Astyanax mexicanus: one gene and its partners. The protein of the gene in region 3 purifies or fractionates together with the protein of the main gene of each other region. This does not show direct contact. Links are inferred from orthologs where the notes say so. Each region holds a gene or a part of one and is shown on either strand. Other genes may lie near its edges.

What was found.
Region 1: the proteins of foxj1a (region 3) and tbc1d32 purify together in Homo sapiens (affinity purification with mass spectrometry; 3 studies listed by BioGRID and IntAct, counting the BioPlex papers as one, with this or other methods). This does not show direct contact. The link is inferred for Astyanax mexicanus from reciprocal best matches to the Homo sapiens genes FOXJ1 and TBC1D32.
Region 2: the proteins of foxj1a (region 3) and rfx3 purify together in Homo sapiens (affinity purification with mass spectrometry; 3 studies listed by BioGRID and IntAct, counting the BioPlex papers as one, with this or other methods). This does not show direct contact. The link is inferred for Astyanax mexicanus from reciprocal best matches to the Homo sapiens genes FOXJ1 and RFX3.

Annotation. Positions count from the first base shown.
Region 1 is NC_064408.1:81,788,923-81,796,289, forward strand, and holds the start of tbc1d32 (protein broad-minded), read right to left. Parts: upstream 3,079-7,367; 5' UTR 2,924-3,078; intron 1,519-2,923; exon of another isoform or gene 1,420-1,518; intron 1,045-1,419; 5' UTR 1,001-1,044; coding exon 846-1,000; intron 762-845; coding exon 600-761; intron 400-599; coding exon 222-399; intron 1-221. Other genes in the region: hsdl1 (inactive hydroxysteroid dehydrogenase-like protein 1), read left to right, coding at 3,558-3,777, 4,819-5,264, 6,246-6,464, 7,329-7,367.
Region 2 is NC_064427.1:3,554,691-3,562,042, reverse strand, and holds the start of rfx3 (transcription factor RFX3), read left to right. Parts: upstream 1-4,315; 5' UTR 4,316-4,452; intron 4,453-7,352. Other genes in the region: zinc finger protein GLIS3, read left to right, coding at 840-973. UniProt on the Homo sapiens protein: Transcription factor required for ciliogenesis and islet cell differentiation during endocrine pancreas development. Essential for the differentiation of nodal monocilia and left-right asymmetry specification during embryogenesis.
Region 3 is NC_064426.1:11,593,637-11,601,443, reverse strand, and holds the start of foxj1a (forkhead box protein J1-A), read right to left. Parts: upstream 3,077-7,807; 5' UTR 2,894-3,076; intron 2,247-2,893; 5' UTR 2,206-2,246; coding exon 1,630-2,205; intron 576-1,629; coding exon 1-575. UniProt on the Homo sapiens protein: Transcription factor specifically required for the formation of motile cilia. Acts by activating transcription of genes that mediate assembly of motile cilia, such as CFAP157.

The DNA of each region.
Region 1 (7,367 bases), on a different chromosome or scaffold from region 3:
GAGCTTACATTCATGTAGAATTCATAATAGAAAATCAAATCCATATTTAAATATTGTATCCACTTAACTATAAAGTGTTTAGTAAAGGTATGCTACAATACAAAAACAATGCAGTTACAGTGAATTACATGACCACTAAATTTACTGGTGCTCTGGTTGGTTCTATGAAATTATATATTGTAGTGGGGATTTGAACATTCATCAAAGGAAACGTGCATCACCTGATTAAAGGAAGAGTCACTGTCAGAGCAGTTGTCTGTGTAGTGGCTGCTTGACTGTTCATGTTGGCTTTTCCTATGCATCTCCTCCTTCTTCAACTGATCCTCCTCAAATTTATTGATTAGTGATTCCACAATAACCATCATGGTCTGTTTTAATGTCTGCATCATCTGTTTATACCTATTGAACAATAACACATTTGTTTAATCCTTCAACAAGTATTTACGTGCAGGTATATAATGAACAATTAAAACGACTAAATAAAGATCTATACTAATTAAAAAACATGACAGCATCCAAACTGGTGACTATAAACTTCCATTCATTGTTATATCATATATTAAGTATTTGCTCAGTTAGTTATTAAGCAGGCCACATACTGCGCAGATTCCCTTGTTCTTCTGGTGACAGCATGGACCAGGGTGTCCTGGCCAGATCCAATGACATGGCCATCACCTTTGGTACAGTTATCCGTCTCCTCTTCAATAACTGCCCCCAGTGTGCTCTCAACATACTGTCGCAGGTACTTGACGAACTCATAACTAAGAGTAAAAAATGGGCATGAGGGAAAAACAGAATTTAAATTACTAAAATGTATTGATCAAGGTAAAGGTGTGTAAACCTACTTGTGAAAGTTTTTGTCCGTCTCCTCCAAGTGCAGCAAGATTTCCTCTGCACATTCCACTGATGGCGCCCCTGATATTCTCTCTTTTACACTTTTTAGAAGCTGCCTCAGCAGGCACTGGAGCTCAGCCTCATCCTCTGCAGAAAACTGAGACATCACTCCACAGGGGGTGTGATGCACCCTTCTCTACCAAGGACTTCCTATAGACACAAGTACAATATCATTAAATGGGATATTTGTCTTCTGCAGTATTGCTGCAGCATTGTTTGGCACATTGTTGATGTTTGTAGCAAAAGGACAATTCACACTGTTCTGATTTCCCATTAAATATCTATTAGAAACAGATTATATCTCTTTAGGATAATTTAGTTTACTTTAGTCCTGGATATGGAGTGCATTATTAGTATCATGACAAGTTGGATCATTGACTTCTCTTACAATCAGGTAAAAATCTGAATTAGGGATGTGCCATAACATTTAGTATATACAACAAATTTGCCAAATGAAATCTAATTCATTTTGCTGCAGTAGTGTATTGTTTTTCACCAAATTATGTATTTAGGAATTTAACTAACCATTACTCAACATCCAGATCATCACTGATGCTTTTAGGACCTGGAAATATTCACCAACCAGAAATTTTTAGAGACAGACATCTTGAATCTACAGAGACCCTAAGATAACATCATGGAAAGAAAAATTTACTTATTAAGGCGTGGATGGAAACGAGATCCTGATGAGTGGCCAAGGCTTAATAAGGTGTGGGAACAAGATCCTAATGTGTGGCCATGACTTATTTAGGGTGTGAACAATAATAATAATAATAATAATAATAATAATAATAATAATAATAATAAATTGTGGCCAGGCATTAGGATGTCGTTCCCATCCTTAACCATAACCTTATGAATCTAACCCAAGATAAAGAGAAAGGGTTTAATCTCTACTGTAACCTGGTCCAGCTGGTTGCTTGGTTAGCTGTATTTTTGTTGAGTTGGGTGGTTTAGCTTGCCTACAACCATGATTAACCTGACCACACTAGCTAAGTTAGATAACCAGTGTGACCAAGCATAACCAAACTGGTTAACCACCATGACCCAGCATGACTTGTCAACCAGCATGACCTCTCATGACCAAGAACAAGTAAAATCAAATGCACTATTTAGTGTGCTGGTGATGAGCTGGATAAACTGTCAGCTTAGCAGAACAGTATGTGTGAAGGCATGGATGACAAGCTTTCCAAAATCCTGGTCTTGAGCTGCATTTTTTTGTGTGATGCTAACTCTAATAGCCGTTATTTAGCACGTTAGTTAGTTAACAATAATAATGGTATTTGAGCTAAGAAGGAGCTGTTTGTGAATAACAGGCGAGTGTAGGTAACAGACAGCTAGCTAACCTAGGTTTCTTGACTAGCCAGCTATCACACACAGCTAGTTAAACAGTTCAGTAGTTATAATATCCAGAGACGTTAACAATGTCATTGAGTCCTTCACTATAGATATATAGGCAGTGACTACAAAAAGCATAACAGCAGCGAACAGTAGCCGGGTAAGTATAATGATACGCTAGCTAACTGGTGTTCTGTCGATTTGTGCTACCTTGACAAACTGTGATACCCTTGTGTGTATTTAAACATAGAAATACCAGAAATAGCACCATATATTTAAAAATGCTCGCTAAAAAGTCTCGATTTGATTTTTGGAAAATCTGAATCAATATGTCAGGGTACGGTTAAAAGAGTTAAACGGGTGATTTAACGTGTTTTGATTTTTTTTCATGGTCGTATTATTACTTGCGTTATACTTTAATTATTAACTGCCATTCACATAATACAAATACAAATGATGACAGGACGCTCCGGTTGTTTAATGCCCCCACGTATAACATAATTACCGTAAAAACACATGAAACCCGAAACTTGCGAATAAGCGCTTGCGCACTGGTAGTAAGAAGCACATATCGACGGGTAGCCATATTCGACAGAACACCGGTTTTTATTAACAGTCTGCTGTGTCTTGGAATTAGCTAGCTGCTAAGCTAAATTAACACACAGACAGAACGCGGAACGGCGTAAACTACCTGACCAAGGTTCATTTCATCCGAGAAGATGTGAAAAAAAACCCTTTAGAAGGTAGAAAATCTTTTAACGGAGCTGAAAAAGCGGAGTTTGAGCACAAGCTAATCTCCTAACCACTGCCAGAGAGAGCCTGTCCGCACACAACCGGCGTCACTATAGAAACAGCAAGCTGACCAATCAGAGTGCGCTCCACCGACTATAGCAAATGTTACAAATATTGTAATATAAAAAAAATAATTATGCGACAAAATATTCTAAAAACAACATGATATGTATATTTTTACGAAGATAATTTTTTGCACTATAATTTGTACACGAAAAGTGCTGTTACAAAAAACAACTATCGGTCCCTTTAAAAGAATGGCTGAGAAAGAGTCACGTGACCTTTTGTCGGCTCTGCGTGTGTGTTTGTGTTGTGTTCAGGCTGTGAAACGGTGCAGGAAAAGTCTGGATCATTCATCAGTGTAAACAGTCAGTTTAAAACCTCACACCTGTTAAATAGAGGCTGAAAGAGAGAGAGCCCAGCTCGCCCGGTAGGCTGTGTGCTCGGTTTAGTGGGGTTTGTTCAGTATTAGATTTAAACAGGCTCGTTTGCTTATTAGTTAGCTAAAGTTAGCTATCAGTAATTCTCCTCTTATGGCTGCTGTTGATAGCTTCCAGTTTCTGTACAGAGAAATCGCCAGATCCTGTAGCTGTTATGTGGAGACCCTGGCATTAGTGGGAGCTTTGTACACAGCGAGCAAAGCTGCTGTGCTCGTGCGGGACTGTTACAGCCTGGTGCGGCTTCACTTCATCCCCAGGCTCGTTCACCCCCGAGATCTGGTTCACCAGTATGGCAAATGGGCTGTCATTAGTGGTAAGTTTACACAAGTGACAGTTAACACCTATTAGTGATGGACAAAGTGCACAAATAATGTACCTGCTCAAAAAAAAAAATCAGCATGGCCTGCTCCAACTGGTCAGGAAGATGTTTTAGATTTTGTGTTTTAAAGGCTTCACTGGTTTTCAAACATGGTCGACCAAGCTAGACCACCAGTATGACCATGCCGATTAATCAGCTTGTCCAGCAAGATCCAGCTGGTTGATCAGCATAAACCAAAACTAAAACTAACCAAAGTGGTTGACTAGCAAGAAAAATCTTGTTGACCATCTTAACCAGCAAGACCAAACTGCCAGACCAATATGATCAAGACTGTTGACCAGCAAGACCAACCTGGAGACCAGCATGACTTGCAAGACCAAAGTGATTAACCAACAAGAAAAGGCTTATGCATCTTCACCAGCAAGGCTAAGCTGGCTGACGAAACATGACCAAGACTGTTGACAAGCAAGACCAAATTGGAGGACCAACATAACCAAGATGCTTGACCAGCAAGACCAAGGTGGTTGAACACAATGAAAAACATGACCTGCAAGACCAAACTGATTGGCCAGCATGTAAAAAGTAGCTAGAGATACCATTCACCATTCTTTTTTTTATTGTAAACCTAATAACATTCTTAAAAAAAGTTTACAATAGGTTTTTACTATACTGAATCTCTATATTTCAAATTTCCCTTCTTGTATGTGGGTTTAGGTACGTTTAAAAAAATGTACACTGTTAAACTAACATTCCACTATATACTTTTACTGTGTGGCTATGTACTGTGCTGTATATGTGTTGTGCTTGCGTTTAATTTTTAAATTTTCATACACATACTGTTTGCGCATATTTGACTCTGTGATGTAGTGGAGAAAGTATAGATAAACAAATACACTTAACTACTTAAGGATAGTAAAAAATTGCATTTACTTTGTTACTGTCCATCACTGCACCTACTGACTGTTTATCTTCTGCATTAGTCTGAATGATAAAAACGATGTATTCTCATGTTGGCTCTGTTTTATTCTCATGCAGGTGCATCAGAGGCCATAGCCAAAGCATATGCTGAGGAACTGGCCAGACATGGTGTGTGCATCATCCTGATAAGCCCAGATGTCCGCAGTGTAAATGATGTAGCAAAGTCTATTTCAGATGTCCATGGGGTGGAGGCCATTTTGGTTGAAGCAGATTTCACACATGGTCTCTCAGTGTGTAAACCTATTAAAGATGCCATCGGAGACAAGGACATAGGGTTTGTTGTGAACTGTCTGGATTCATCCCACAATGTATTCAGAGACTTTCTTGACTTGTCTGAAGGCACCGTTTGGCACATCTTAAACAATAATGTCACCACGGCCACCCTGGTGACCCGTCTGGCTCTGCCTGGCATGGCAGAGAGACAAAGAGGCGCTGTGGTTAATATCTCATCTGAAGGATGTTCCAAGCCCACTTCAAGGAAGGCTGTGCTTTCTGCATCCATGGTCAGTGATCAAATTGTTCATGTTTTACAATAGTGTCCTAAGCACAATTTAACCCCTAGATTTATTATGCATTAACTACTATGTGTTCTAACAGTCAGATTCCTAAGGATTATGGTTTGACTTTCGGTCCTGTTTTATTTGACTGTCCTAAATGTACACAAAATTGCCAGTATTTAGATGGTGTGTATGTGATGTCACAGTTGGTGGAGGTCACTGTGGTAACCCCCACTGAGTAGCAAAAAAGACACACTAAGTGGCAGCAGTATTATTCATTGTGAAGGCTGAGAAAACACAGTATGGAAAAAGGGGCTTTTGGGTGATTGACTTTTCAAACATTGTCTAAAAAATGTAAAAACTACTAAAAGTTAAAGAGGTGAGAATCTAGTTCACCTCATCAACTCTTTAACCTACAGGACAGTGGTGTTCCAAGACCAGAATGAAGAAACACTGGTTTAGATTTGAAATTAGGTACACCAAAATATTAGGAAACACGTTTCTGTCCATATCGATTTCCTCGGACCACTGGTTTTTTGATGTTGACCCTAATGTGTTGATTTTCAGTTTATATTCACGTGTTTAACTGTTAAAAACAGTCATACTGTAGCATGTTTTGCAAAAAAATGTAAATTGTGTTCACAAGCACCAGTCTGTCTGATTCTGTCACAGCAGCACGACCCACTCACATGATGACCACGACCCACATGTATCATTATTTGTGTGATAAAATGGTCTACCACTCAAATGATATCTGTTCTCTGTGTTGATTACATTGCATTAATTAATGGGATAAAGAAGGGGGACAAAATTGTGAAAGAATGCACATTCAGTAACTTTAGTAAAAACTTTGAAACCTAAGCGGTCAATGACTGCAGCTATAAAGTAGTTAGTTATACAAAATATACTGCCAACTCTGTGTGTAATAGCCCTTAAAAATAAATTGTTCCTTTGGGTAAAATATGTCTTTTTTTTCCCCCCCACTAGGCTTTCCTTGACCACTTCAGTCGCACCCTGCATTATGAATATGGTCACCGAGGGGTCTTTGTGCAGAGTTTGATCCCCTGTAGAGTTACCTCTAAAGGAGAAGGAGACCTGGGTGGTGCTGGCTGGTTGGTTCCACAGCCACATGTGTATGCAAGGCATGCCCTGTCCACTCTGGGTATCTCCCACAGAACTACAGGATACTGGCCTCATACAATACAGGTGAATTACAGATGAAATATAATAGGAAGCATGGTTGTACAATATTTCTCTATTTGAATTGAGAATGATCCCTAAATTCCACTTGAGGTTGCAAACTAGAAGCTGAAGTGCAATTATTTTTTTTAGCAGGAAGTAGAATTAAAATGAAATGAAATTCAAAGAAATTCATAATACATAATTCAGGTTTATTTAAAAACAAAGCTTTTCAGTACATGACATGTGATTACAACATGAATGTCATACAGATCTTTTTGCATGGGCCACAAATGTATGATTACATCATACTCTATAAAACAGGCTATTAAAATTGTAATAACCTTTAAATTGTAGAAATTGACAATGCTTAATTTCCCAGAACACCTTGCTTTATCCAGGTATTTAATATAGTTGTTCAAACATTTAGGCCATTTTGATGGCACACAATAAAGTGAATGAAGTTAATTGAGGGACAGAAAGGGTAATTTTTGTATTTATAGCAATCTGCAAAATAATAATGCATGTAAAAAGACATCTGTGCTTGTTCATTAAAGTGGCTGTATGCCTAATGTTAATGTCTGTACTTTTACATTGTTAAAAGTATCACATTCCCACTGATATATGATAAAAATAAATGTCTCTAAATTGCTGAGTTTAATTCCACTTCTTGTAATGCAAATTCAAATTCAGTTCAACCTGCTGTAGGGTGGATTAAATTAACATTCATATTCATTTATTGAATTGGTTTGAATTCTGAATATTGCACAGCCCTGAAAGGAACTTAGTACACTATATTGCATATCAACATTGTTCCACTATTCCCATATCTGTGCTTCTTCAACTATTATTTTTTAAATGATTTGCATGTTTATCTCATTTTTACTCTAGTTTCGACTCATGCAGTGCATCCCAGAGTGGATTTGGATG
Region 2 (7,352 bases), on a different chromosome or scaffold from region 3:
AATAGTCTTTATAGCATCAATAAAAGAGCTGTATATGTACTGTATAAATGATAAATGGTGATATGATATTATATATATATATATATATATGTAGGCACAGGGATTATGATAAATTCTATATTGTTGAATATGCAATAAGGCCGTCACATACTAGACAATGCAACTTTGTCTTTTACCATTGTCTTTAAAGGAGGTGGGCACACCGGTGTCAACACCATATGTTGAAACATAGTTAAAGTTATATAGTTTTATATATATAGTTAAAGTGCTAAAGGACTCACTGAGGAATGGCACTGTTGCAAAATTCCATCCCAAACAACAAAACCTGCTTATAATGAAGATTTATTGTTATTATGAAGTTAATAAAAGTGAGGCCATACAGAATGCCCAGCCTCTTCATTTCCAACAACCGTAACGAAAAACCGAACCGCAGAGTTTATACCAAGGTGTGAATCAAACTGTACATTTTCTGGACTGTTAAACCCTTATTATTCACATTTTTAGGCACACTTAAATTATTTCATCCTCTCCTGCCCCGCCCCTAAACCCATACATCAGCCAAAAAGTGCCCCTCCCTTTTTTTTTGGTTGCATTTTTCCAATTTGAGCTGTAGGTGGAGTCTTTAAGCATGACAGATAGGTTGTATGACACCCTGTAATGCCATTTTAGGAGTGTATTATAAAATGTAGTATACTGTAAGCAAAAAAGAAAAGTTTATTTTAATCATAGAAATGTATAAGGAAATGAATTGTTAGCTAAATATTCATGGTTGTGACACTCCTGTGAGCAGCTGTTAATAAGCAGTGTGTGTGTGTGTGTATGTGTGTGTGGGTTTGCAGTAATGGATCAGCACAGTGTATCAAAGGACGCCTTGGAGAATCAGGACTTTTCGCTGTCAGACGACAACTACCTTCACATACGGTCGGTGGATCGCTGCCCGAGTCAGCTCTCCTGTACCTACAGAGAGGGATAAACACCGGCCAGGAGTAACTCTCGCTCTGCCCTCTGATCACCTGTCTGTACTGATGATTCATTACTGACTTCTTGCTTCTTCTCTTACAGTCACAGACTTACATTTATTAAAGACAGCTGCTCTGGAACCTGAAGTCAAGGATGTTTGTGAATTCTCAAAAACAAAAAAAAACTATGTACATATGGACTGCAGTTCTGTCTTTACCGTTTTTGATTATTTACACAGAGATTATGATGTTCATTTTGCAAGTTTTCTTTTTGTATGATATGAAATTTCATGTGATAAAAGCTGATTCCAACCTGTGAAAAAAACAGAGCATTTGTGATTGTGTGCTTTACTGAAGCACATCGTTTCTGCGGAAGTGAGATTTACTTATTATCTCAAAATAATCACTTGTTTTGATCTATTAAACTGTTGTGTGGTTCCAAATCTCAAATTATACACTTTTTTAAATCGTTGGCTCTGTCTCTCAAAATGCTTTTTTTTTTATTTCTGACATTTTTAAAATTGTTGTACAATTTTGACTTAGTTTTGCAACTCAAAACAGTGATGTTATTTCACAAAATGTTCACTTTAAAACTCAAATTAGTCACTTTTTCATCTCCAGATTTTCTATTTTCTATCTTGTTCAAATTCTTCTGTCTCAAAATAGTGAAATAATTGAATAAAATGACTTATTTTCTTAAATTTTAACATAATATTTATATTTCTCTTCTCAAAAAAATTTGACTTATTTTCTTAATTATCTCAAAATTGTACATAATGTACATAAAATGAATTATTTTAAATTAAATTAAACCTGACCCAATTAAATGCAGTGTGAAAAGAATGAAATGCAATGTCTTAAAGTTCATAGCTCTTTTTTTAAGAACCTGTCAACATTAACATATCTAACCCTGAAGACTTTAATCCAGGCCATCTGGGGTTATTTTGGGAAATTACAGATCATTTATTGTGTATGAATAGGCAAGCTAGGCCACTGACAGATTACATTACTGTTCCCTTCGTAGTAAAACCAGTCCAAATAGGATAAGGCTGTATTCAGAATATGATAAAACTCAGTATTTTGAACATTTGGAAAAAAATCGATTTTTTTATGTTGGTTTTAGAAACAAAGTAATAAAAGATGCCATATTCTCTTCTACATAATGAGTTTTCAGTGGGTTTCTTCCTGGAAGAGCATTCAAACATGAAACAGAAAAGAGATAGAAAAGCTATAATCATCTCATATCTAATACTACAGCATCTGTTTATATCTGTATACTTTAAAACACTGGTAGAGCCAGATCTAAATGCAAAGGTCAATCGTCAAGAGCTGAAAAGGCCAGCAGAAGGAACTGCACAGAAAAGCTGTAATTACTATGTTTAGCATCACTGGTAGCCATGGAGTCCATTTTTTATGTTGTGTCCCAGTTGGGTTTACCAGTGTAATTTGGGAAAGGAGGCACTATAATCATGAAGAATCAGTGGGAATGTGTCACAGGGGTTCGGCTTCCGCCTTCTGGCCAAAACAAGCCCAGTGTCCTCGCTTAAAATGCCCAGATAGATCCATTCTTTGGACCCCTTCTAAAGGAAACAGAATTTTGGATCTCTTAAAAAACTGTGTTCAAATTGTGCAGAAGTCATGCCTAGAATGGATAAAGATAATATAGGTACATAATTTAGGTACACTTATTGAGATAAAAGCACCAAGACTGATTTGTTGGATTCAAATGTATTTTAGAAGTATTTTACACGGTATTGAAAGGAGCGCTAGAAACCTGCTGGGTTCAACTTATTCCTGTCTGGATACAAGATGATATACTGTACATACAGTTGGGAATTATTTGTGTGTGAGATTTTTTGTGAGAGAGATTTTACACATTCTTTTGATATTGGGGATATCAGAATAAAATATCTCACCTGTTGTCTGATAAATTGACTTAAGCTAGCAAAATATTTCTATATTAAACGATAGTTTTAATGTTATAAATACTTTCTGAAGGTTATGAATTATTCGACCACATGGACCATAGATTAGTGTTTAATTGCCGCAGATGTAAGGGGGTGTGCTTCAGCAAATGTGCTGCACTGTTCAGCTAGGATATCAGTTAAATCTAACTAGACTCCCCTCAGAACCGAAGCAAGTATATTATTTAGCTGAGTATCTTCTTATTTTCTTTGCATTCCTTTACTTAAAACAAATATGTTATTGTTCTTAAATTTGTTCAATTCAGTTCCAGGTAGCAGTGATTAAATTAAGCAGAGGAAGAGCACTTATAAACATACAGACTCATTAAACATACAAACTAAGAGATTTGAGTTGTTTTATTATTATTATTTGGGATTAAGCTGATATTTTACCATTTTCTGATTTTTATTTTAGCTTTTTTGCATTTTCATGCAGACCAATCATTCTGAAGTCAAATTTATAAAAATAAAGAAATAAATAAAAAACACCTCATCTTTATTTTTAAGTTCAAAATATATAGCTACCATTAGAAATAATATTGTCCACAGATTTCATAAATCATTGCCTTAATTGCAGAAATATTTGCTTCATAAACTGTTTACAGGGAAGAATTTAATAAAATAAATCTATAAAACTAAAACTAAAAAAAACATATAACTATAAAACTATATTATATTATTTTAACTAAAGTAATAGTTCAGTATGTAGTCATATTTAAGACGCTGGGGTTTTGGGTTCGCTTTTTTTGTTATCTTTACAATTCCACCTTAAATTGCACTGACGCCGACTGTAACTGCTGCGCTGTTTAAGGTGGAACGGGTGAAAAATGAGTGGATTAGCAAGTCTTGTCTAGAAAACGTTTGAGACGTCTTAAATGTAGCTTATAGAAATTAAACATGGATTCTGTCCGTTAGCTTTGTTTTATAGATGATTTAAAGCTAAATACGTGTAAAACTCGTATATATTAGGGATACTTTAGAAGATCTGTATTATATGTGTGGGTCAATAAAGTGAGTGTTTTTTTTCTCCTGCATATTCTTTAACTATGCCTCTTTTGCTTTGATTTTTTTTTTTGTCATCTTCATAATTCCACCTTAAATTGCATTGAAGGATGTTTAAGGTGGAACCGGTGGAAAAATGAAGCGAATAGAGGAAGCCTCGTCTATGATTAGTTCAGAAAACGTCTGAGACGTCTTAAAGACAGCTTATAAAAATGAAACATGAATTTCTGACCGTTTGCTTTGTTTTATAGATGATTTAAAGATAAATAAGTGTAAAAATTTGTGAACTTTTATTCAGCGCGCGCCGATAAGCCCCGCCCCCCTCGCGCTCGCGCTTCCGGCCGGTCCCTCGGTTTCGGGGTTTGGTTGAGGCGGCGCTTTATAGCAACCGTTGCCCCGCGATTCAGCGCCATAGTCACCGTAGTCCTGGCGACTGTAACCCACCAACAACAACAACAACCTCGCGCTCCATCCTCACCGCCTCTGCCATCCTCATCCTCATCAACACATAATCCCACACACTGCAGGTGAATATTACAGCTGATTACTGCTTTTATAGGCTTTATTCCACCATGCATTAGCGCTGCCCGGCGGGCTGGGGTTCTGCTGCTGCGGCTGGTTTGCACTTTTCCCCTGCTGAAGGTTTTCTGCTTTATTGTGAGCTGTGGGTCCATTGTAAAACGTAACTTAGCTAGCCTGCCATACAGCTGTTTAGTTAGCTAGCCTTGCTAGTTATTTTTTCATCTATCTATTTAACGTTATATATCTGTCTATCTATCTATATGTATGTATGTGTGTATTTATATCGCTCTATTTTATTTATATCTAGTTATTTGTGTAACTTACAGCAGTCTTCATATATTTTTTTTTAGGTTTTGTGCTGCTTTGTATTCGGATTTTAACGTTTTTTTTAACATTCACTTGGATTTATTGCTGAACACGCTTGCTTTTAGCTAATTTAGCTTCCTATAAAAATTTAATGATTATTTTAAACGCACCAAAAACAGTCTAGCTAGTTAGATAGGTTAACCTAGCTAACTATCTTATTATGTATTAGCAATATGATATACTCTATCAAGATTATTTGTTCATGCTTATTCAATGTGTCTAACGTTATAGCTAAATATTATATATCCTGTCCATTTTCGCTGATTTATTTAAGCGTTTGGTAGCTTCAGCTTTTATTAGCTAGCGTTAGGTCTGCTCCAGCATCTTTCCTCATCCTCAGAAGCAGGTGTTTCCTCCGGCTAGCCGACACAGTGGTGGCCGGGTGTTCTGCCGTTCTGTGCTACCCGCCGATATGTGCTTCTTACTTGCAGTGCGCATGCGCTGAGCCACTCGTTTTGTCAAAAAAATATTTGAAATTGTTTATTCAATAATATTATTCTTAAGTTTAACCATATTGCATTTTTGGCGCGAGTGTTACAGAAGGTAATTAATCGATTTAATGTAATCGATCATGGCAATTCATAGTAAGATTATAATAATAATCTTAACAGTCAGCTTTATTACTCTGTTAACACTGATTATACAGTGATTTAGGCTTATCCACATTTTCTACCTAGACTTCATTCAGCTTGGGAGCATGTTGTAATATATTTTAATATATTTTTTGTATGTGTGTTTTTACCTTTAAATAAATAATATAACGTTACACTCGGGTAGCACGATTTGACAATGTAGCACAACTCGGCAAAACACCTGGTCAGAGCGAGCTAGCTAACCGCTATTCTTCAACACCTCCAGCCTCGCTAGCGAGCTAAACCACAACCACACCAAACTGGGAGTTGGGTTTTTTTTTGTATTTTTTAACTGCAGAACTGCAAAACTGTTTTAAAGCCGTATCTGATTTTCCGTATTTTTATTAATAGAAGAACTGTGCAGAATTGTGCAGCTGGCTGGCCAACCTGTCTGAATGAGCTAAAGCTAGCTAGCTATGGCTATTCAACGTTAGTCATAATGTTAGCCAGCTAACTATAGTGGTCTTGCACTGATATTAGCAGAATACATTGCATTTGTAAGCTTATTTGTAGCTCACTTGTATACATTTCAGCTTGCTACCTAAATGTGGTTAAAACCCTCCAAACACACAGGTTAGTTAGCTAGCGTTAATGCTAAATGTGCTTTCATTTAATGACTGATACACAATGCTAGCCGGCTAGCGTTACCGAAACCTGCAGCCTATCCATTGTTACCAGCTAGCCACTGGGGGCAAGTGCAGCTAATATTAGTTAGCTAGCTGGATAAATACAGCTCTGGAAAAATTGAGAGAGTACTTCAGTTTCTGAATCAGTTTCTCTGATTTTGTTATTTATAGGTTTATGTTTGTGTAAAATGAACATTGTTGTTTTATTCTATAAACTACAGAAAACATTTCTCCCAAATTCCCCCCAAAAAAATTGTCATTTAGAGCATTCATTTGCAAAAAAAAAAAGAGAAATAACTGAAATAACAGAGCTTTCAGACCTCAAATAAGGCAAAGAAAACAATATTTAGTGGAATAACCCTGTTTTTTAAATACAGTGTTAATGTATCTTGGCATGTTCTCCTCCACCAGTCTTACACACTGCTTTTGGATAACTTTATACAAAAATTATATATATATATATATATATATATATATATATATATATATATATATATATATATATATATATATCTTTTTGCATTTCCATGCAAGGCCAAATACAAAAAAAGTCTATTAAAGAACACCCTATCTCTATTTCTAAGAGCTACCAATGCTACCACGGCTCCCGGTTATTATTATTTTATATTGGTTGATTTGGAGATTGGCTGTTAAGTTGTCTATTATCTTTTCATTGTTTGGACGACTTTATAACTGGACTATATTTCTGTATAGTGTGCATAATTTATTCTTTGTAGTTGCACAGTTTAATGAATGTGACTAGGCTTGTTAATTTTTCTAATCTAACCTAAAATATATGTGCAAAAATGCTTGGAAATGAAGAGCATGTATAGTCAAAATAGGAAAAGGGAAATCTTAACTATTAAAAATAAATGCAAATAAACTATTAAAAATAAATGCAAATAAGTTTCTATTCCATATCTTTTCTGAGAATTTATATTGTCCATTTATTTAATGTAAAGGACAGCTGTGATATATGATAGCTTACTTTCTATTCAGTTTTATCACAGTATTAGCTACTGTATCAGTGATGGCATGAAACCGATATTGATTACCTCTCTTGAGTATCATCAAATAGGTTCTCTTGCTCAAACTTTCTGTTGGGACAATAGTTGGTGTAAGACCTTGCCACTTTAGGACTTTTTATAAATATACTGCCCATCTTTCTACCAGTGTAGTGTGATTCAATGTATTAAATATGGTATTTCTGTGTAATTCTTCATTGATGTTACACATTCTGATTGTATTCTTTCATGCTTAATTTGGAATAGATTTTTTTTT
Region 3 (7,807 bases):
ATGGTGAGGTCCTCTTCTCTTGTGATTGGACTCAGTGGGCCACCTTCATTCAGGCTCAACTCCCCATTCAGTGCTGAATCGAGCAGGGCATCCCAGTCAAAGTTGCTCTTGAGGGAGTCTAGATCCTTTGGTTCCTCTATGGCCAGAAATGGCGAGCTAGAGCGGCGCAAGGCTTTGGGACCACCAGTTCTATGCCCATATGGCTGTTTTCTTTTGTGGCCCTTTGCAGGGCCCCAGCAACCAAACATTGTGGCTTCGGCAAGACGAGGGTCCCAGTTCTGGTCAACACCAGTGGCTTCCTCAAACTCTTTCAGGAGCTGCTGGGACTCAGCGCTAACACAGAGTCCTCCTGGGACACTTGTTGGCACAGTTGGTTGTGAGTTCATCCTGAGGTGGTTTTGAAGAGCTGGGTTAATCTGTACCGGAGGTGTCCTCCGCTTCTTATAGGCCCCACTGAGTAGACGCTCAGCATACTGGGGGTCGATCTTCCAGAAACCTCCCTTTCCTGGCTCGTCTTTCTGCCTCGGAACCTTAATGAAGCACTTGTTCAGTGAGAGGTTGTGTCGGATTGAATTCTGCAATAATACATTAAGATAGAAGACAAAAGCACCATAATGTTAGTCTTAGTCTTATAGTTAGTCTTAGTCTTATATGAATAAATGTGCTAATCAATGCATTCAGTATCAGCTTCTCTTCTTTAGAGCAAGAACTGCACACTTGAGATCCATTCTAAAAGGCTTTTGCACATCCTGAACCTCATAAATACCACAATAGACTGGCCAAATACCACAAAGCACTTATATTTAAATGAAGCACTGACCCTTTGACCTTGGTTAAACATTGTTTGTTAAGGTTGCGGGTTAAAATAACTGAAACTGGAGGAAACGTCTCAGTTGTCCTCAGAAAGGCTACAGGGTTAATTAATCATTTACCAACCATTTTCCTTAAAACCACCCTTTTTACTGTAAATAAACTTTATACACATTATATATGTTTATATCAGAAAACATCCCATTCTCTTCTTTTCACTGTCTATCTGTCTATTAGGGTAGGTTAAAACATGTAATTGTAGTCATTTCAGTGTAGTTACATACCCCGTGTGCTGCCATCCCTAACCTCTAGCTCTCATAATTAACTATACTGCTTAGTTGCTAATACTATTTCACTGTGTGGCAGCTATCCAATAATTTCCCAAATACAAAGTCTCAGAATAAAAGAAAACAAGCTCTCTGGAGGGTTCCTGTAGAGGAAAATCATTGTGCTAAGCAGAAGTTGTTTACTCTCCAACACAGAGAGTCCTCCAGGAAGATGTAGAGGGTTTCTCCCTCGAATGTACACTACTCTAACTCTAATGAACATTTAGTTTCATTCTAGTGTGTCAAAATTAAAGGGTCTTATATTTTACTGCTCATACTTTAGAGTTCATGTGTGACATTCATGTGAGATTATGTATGAAAGTAATATTAACTCCATTTTACAAAACCATTTACCTTCTTTCTTTATCCTTGTTTTTGACATTATACCTTCAAGTACTACACATTTAATATCATTAATATCACATTTAAATATCTCTGTTAAAATTTGATTGTAAAGTTTGTTAAGAACGAGATTTAAGGAGCAATAACTCACCTGCCAGGTGGGGTCAGCATGGCGGAAGTAGCAGAAGTTGTCAGTTATCCATTTATAGATGCATGAGAGAGTGATTTTGCTTTTCTTGCTTGCTTGCATGGCCATGCAGATCAGGGTTGCGTATGAGTAAGGTGGCTTAATGTGAGGGTTGGTCTTGTAGTCTACCTCGTCTGGGCAGTGGCCATGTGCCACCAAGCTGGGCAAAGCCGACAGGGAGGGCACCCGGCAAAAGGACGCCGCAATGGGCTTACCTGGGGTCAGCGGCATGCCTATGGATGCAGGGTCGCCTGCTAGAGGAGAGGCAGGGGCTTCTGCTCCCAGCTGCTGCCCAAAGAAAGGGCTGTGGTGCTGGCTGCTGGTAGACACATGTTGCCCTCCACTAGCATTGAGGATAGAGAACTCCTGCAGCCACTGGAGGCTGGTGAGGCTATCATCCAGGTTGTCTGAGCTGGTGCAGTTGCTATAAGCCAAAGAGCTCTCGTCCAGATCTTCGACCTGAGCAGCAGCTGTCACCACCTGCTCCTCCAGCCCCACAGAGCCCTCGGGCCAAGAGTCTGCGCAGCTCATGGACAGCATAGCCCTCTGTTAACCTCTCCCCGCACCTCCCCAGCCAAAACCTGCACAAGGACAAAATAGCAGCGGCAGTCAGTCAGTCCACAGCCTGCTTTAATCATGCATGAGGTAGGATGTCATTGCAAGGATGAGCTGCAACACGCCAAAGCAGCATAGATGAAACTATAAAATAGTAGTATAAGTAGTAGATTATATGGGGGTGGGTGGGTTAGAGCCATTTAGCTGCCAAAAAAGCTCCCCCTTTAAATTCCACAGCTGACTGGCCTTCAGAGAATGTTCCTGAAAAAGGCTCAACTCGCCGTGCCATCTTTCACTGTGGCAGGTGGATTTTACTACACTTAAACAGGGATACTGATACTGTTGGCCATAAATGATCAATTTAACAGACTGGCCTAAATTAGATGTATGACAGAAATAACAGTAACTTTATGAGTATATATATAGATATGCCTTAAATATATATAGAGCCTTATAATATAAACATTAGACAAGCACAAAATACCCCAAGACACCACCTTTACATCACTATAAGAGCTAACAGACACCTGTGATCGTTTCTGTGATATTTATTAATGATGTATTCTTAGTGATGGAGAATGTTAATTATAACAATTCGGAATTTCAAAACAGAAAACCCCTTTTTATAGCAATAAACTCTAATGCCCGAAATCCCACTCATCCTGAAGCTCACCTGTTTTGATTAACTGGAAATTACCGAAAAAATCATCCAAAAGGCCGCAGATGGTGTTTTTATCCGTGTTAGCTTGAGTTAACGACTCGCTGAAATTCCGTGAGATGACGTCGCTGCGCAGTTTCAGGTCTCCGGGGCCCTCTGACCGGGGGGCACTTTAATACCTGCTGCACGAGGGCTGTCCGGTAACCGTTAGCAACGGAACACCCCCTTGTAAACATCTTGCCGTTCTTCCATTGGCTGCGCGGTTGCTATAGGGCTTCATTTTCAATCAACCCCTCTCCGCGGTCTGCTCACCACGCTGGTGAATCCAGAATAAAACACAAAAATGAGGAACAGATAAAACAGAGGATGATTTTATTCCTTTATGCAGCTCTTCTTTATAGAGACTCCATTAATGCTTATAGTTATTATTCTATCTGGAATATTTACTACAAAACATTAGCTAGCTTTTAAAGCATTTAAATTAGCACAAGATAAAAGTCTTCTTTTTTGTATTTTTTACCCTTTAGATAACACAGTGCATAAACCAGCAAAGCCTACACAGCACACACACAAACTGTAGCACAGAGTTTACATCCAATTTTTACTATTTTACAGTAAAATCCTACTCGAGTCACTGCACACCAGCAGAGATCTGACTGATTCATCTTGCTCAATCCTAGCCAGCTAACCAAATGAAAAGTCTTGTCTTTTTATTTCTATACACTTGCTTTTGTGCAGTTCTTCAGAAAGCCACTCAGCCACACTAATGGAGTGTTTAAGAGGCTAACCCGTCTGTGCGGGTCTTTCCCCTTCTTTTTTTTTCTTTTTGGTTCCACTGTCTCACTGAGAACAGCTTGTGCATTCCTTCAAACACCTCGCTCTGAAGTCCTGGATATTCATCCTGTCTTTTCATTTCGATCGCCACTCTGAGAGTAACATCCTTTCCCAGTTTGTTTAATAGCATTTTTTCTTCATCTGAAATGAGTCTCCTGTTGTCACTGAACCTCTTTAGTGAAGAATGTGACAATGAAGGTGAGAGAAAAGGAGCAGCAGACAGTGCTTGGAGTACTTTCACCTCTCGCCTTGTTGTTAGCCATCCGTGAAATGCCCATCAAAACCTTCCCCTGTGTCCGCCTTGTCAGTCTCCTTTTTTCTGCGGTTGCTATAAGTAGACACATATAGTATACTAATTTACTATAAAGCCTCGCTCATGGGATGTTAGATACTGTAAGCATGTCCATTTATAATATTGAGTTTAAAATAGTAGAAACGTTAATTTTCTACAAACTCACATTTTCATAAACTAACACAGCGGCTTGTATTTTCTACATCATTTTTATATAGCAGATACCCTTTACCCTTTATCATGATCTTCAGATTTTACCTTCTACATTAAAGTTTAAACTTTAAAGCTTTGAACTTTAAATATGCCGATTTTGTTACTTTTAATTATTATTTTTTATATTTTGGTGCATTACATTATTTTAAATCAAACATATTTACTTCCATGATCAGAAAGCTAGTTTTTATCAGAAACGCCTACAGCTTTGAAGGAAATTTTCCTCTGCCGCTGTTGGTTTTGGATTGTTCACATGAAGCATGAAGTTGCTATGTGAAAGCATTAGATTAAAATAGACTAGACAGCCACTCTAAATGACTTTTTACAAAATATGATTCTGTAGAATTGTAGAAATATTGCGATACTAATATTGTGGAATATTTAAATAATGATTTGATAATGATGCTTTCATGTGTAATCATTCAGATCTGAAGTCTAGTGTATTTGTGTCAGTATATGAGGCTGAACAGCAGAGGGCGGAAGTGGATAACTTGTGGACGGATCCTGGGCCACATCTGGCATTTTCTAATGGTCCACATACCACTTGAAGTGATGGATTAGAAGTGGGACAAATGTGCTTCTATGGCCCAGATGCAGCACGCATTGATATTTTTCAATCCTTTTGCTTTACATTTGCTGAATGTAAATAAGATTGTTTATGGTACACTACATGTAAATCCCATTATCTGCTTCTATATTCAGGTTAATTTGGTTTCATCTGGCCAAATGGTCTGGTTTTTAGCATTTAAATCTGTTGTTTAACATATGTCTGTTGCTGAGTATGACTTGTGGTTTACAATTTCAATCAACCTTTATTTTGACTGGTAGATTGATTTGTGTAGATTGACCCCCATTTTCAGTGTAATTGAGCATTTACAGTAAACTGAAAGAGATAAAAAGTAGTATTTAATCACCATAGATATGCACAACAGAGGAAAATGAGCAGGCTCAGAACATTTAGAAAAGTATGAAAATTAATTACGACATCTCCTGATTTTAGTCTTTGACAGTGATTTGCCTTGCTTCTTGACCTGGCAGGATGTAGTGAGGAGGGCCTGAGAGTTGAAAGGAGTTCTGCTTCATCTACATTACTTTATAAATATTACGTGGTCTACCAGGTGTTGCTAAGGTCACCGGTGCATTCTATTTTCTACCTTTACAACTAGTTTCTGTTGTTTGATAGATTACTGTTTTACTGTTTCAGCTGAATGGTGGCTTACTTCATTTGCATCAACAACTCGTTAGCTGTCAGATTGAGAGTTTCCCTGCACAGCTTCTAAATGCAAATTCATCACTTGGAATCAACTCCACTCCTTTCATGTCCTTAACCTGTCATTAAACTACTTGTTGTCCAATTACTTTTTGGCTATAGTCTACACTTTTGAATCTACTGCTGTGGTCTGTATCTGACTGTATATTGCGCAGAAACTCCAGCCCTACAGGATCACAACTAAAATACCTAACCATTTTATTTTAGCATTTTATGTACAGCTACAAATATAAATTTACATCAAATTAAGTATAAATAACTCTAACCGTGATAAAGTGTATAAGTACACAGCAAGCTTTGTTAACCGTTAACATCTTGATTGACTAAATTACTAAAGCATATAGAGAAAATATCATTATGTATGAAAGCAGTCCAAAGTCCTCTATACTGACCAGTAATTAAGAAAAGAACAAAAATGTATGTCCTACATAAAATTACATATTACTGTTAAGGATTTGCGGCCTGTGATGATAAATGTGAAACATGTAATGCGTAGGAAGTGTTCTCTGTGTAAATTGAAAATCATTTTGCCATATACTTTGTGCATTTGCTGCTTAATACTGCCATATACTACAGTAAGGCTTGTGTATCTTTACTCTCCAACAGTCAGGGATCCTGTCTAAGTCTTTATATTAAGGAAATATCTTTTTTTATATTGGCCTTAAAGTGAAGAGATCACTCAAAATGATTTGTGTTGTAATTAGATGGTGTTTTTCTTATGTGCTCTTACTGGTCATAGCTGATCAGTCAACTATACAAGAGATTTTAAACATTTTTAAATGTTTTTCCTTCTTCTGAGTGATTTGAGTGGTTACAATATTAATGTTCTTTAAACTATCTGGGATGTCATATCTCCAAAGTGCTACAGCTTTGTTTATATATTTACACATCCAAATAAAACATAATTTACCCAGGGAAGTAAGTAAAAAAAAAAAACGAGTAAGATAACTTTAATACAGTATATGTGAGTACACAGCTGCTGATATTCATTTTATGTAAGTAGAGATTATGAAACTGATTTCACTTATTTTACTTTTTTTTACAGTTATGCTATTGTATATGCCCTACATTTAACTTAATATGCCACCATTCAATACTGAATACAAAGCAAATGCCCAACCCCAATACATTATAGATAACCTTCTCTGTAATAGGCTTTCTCCTACATCCAATCTGAATTATTCAGTTTTACAGCTGGGAAGGCTGACACTCCTGAGCTGGTCTCAAAATACTAGGCCTGTCAACACACTCTCTGATTACACTCTGTTCAACAGAAGTAAGGCACATTTGCACCTGTAGATAATTGGATAAAGGACATATGAAGTAAACCTAAAAAAGCAATATAACTTTATTCTCTGTTTATATAATTATAATGAACAATGGTGGCGTTTTTAATTGTATAAATAAAACTGTACATTGTAGGCCTATTTTAGCTAGAGAGCAACTATAATAGGCAAAACCATCCAATGAGACACTGTTTAGCAATATTTGTTGTTTTTCATTTCCCATTCTGACTTTAACCGTTTAACATCTGCTCAGCTTTTTGTATCTTTGTTTAGAAGGTGTTAAACTTAACCCAACCTGATTGTGCCGTCTCTATCAATCAGCAGAGCTATGCTAGAGTAAAACATTTGCTAGAGTTCACTGTACAGTTCAATAGTATGCCTTTTAAGTTCATCCATAAATCACTTCATTCATGCAGTTTGTTTTTGGTCAAAATTTGGAAGGTCATCAGATATCATTATATATCAGTATATCATCGGTTCAAACAATTTGATTAATGGAATTCATCAATGTTTAAACATTATACACCATAAATAAATATAATAAAAAATGTAATATATAAATGAGAGTTCTGAATTTGCTTCAACATATTGTCTCATTTGGCAGAAGTGCATAATTAAAAAAACTGGGATCTCTTTTGGGTCATTTTTATCACTGCCCTAAACCAGCAATACTCAGACTTTCGCTGGAAACCATCTTTTTGGGTGATAAGTTTCACCAAAATAAAATAAACAAAATATTTCATTGCTATATGCTTGAGGAGGAGGTTAAAGATAAGATAAGTGGGGAAATTTACAATAATACAGCAGCGAAAAGATCAAATAAACATTATATACAATATAAAAAATAAAAAGTAAATAACACTTAGGACTGTATTTACAAATAATTGTAAATTGCCTCTTAGTTGCACAGGGGTAACAGAGAAATATCTTACAAAATCTATATTCTTTGAGTGTGTAGCGGGAGTAAGCTGGAATGCAGTGCAGGATGTAGAGTCGAATAGCAGCAGGAGGAAGCAGCCTGAAGGAGCTGCCCA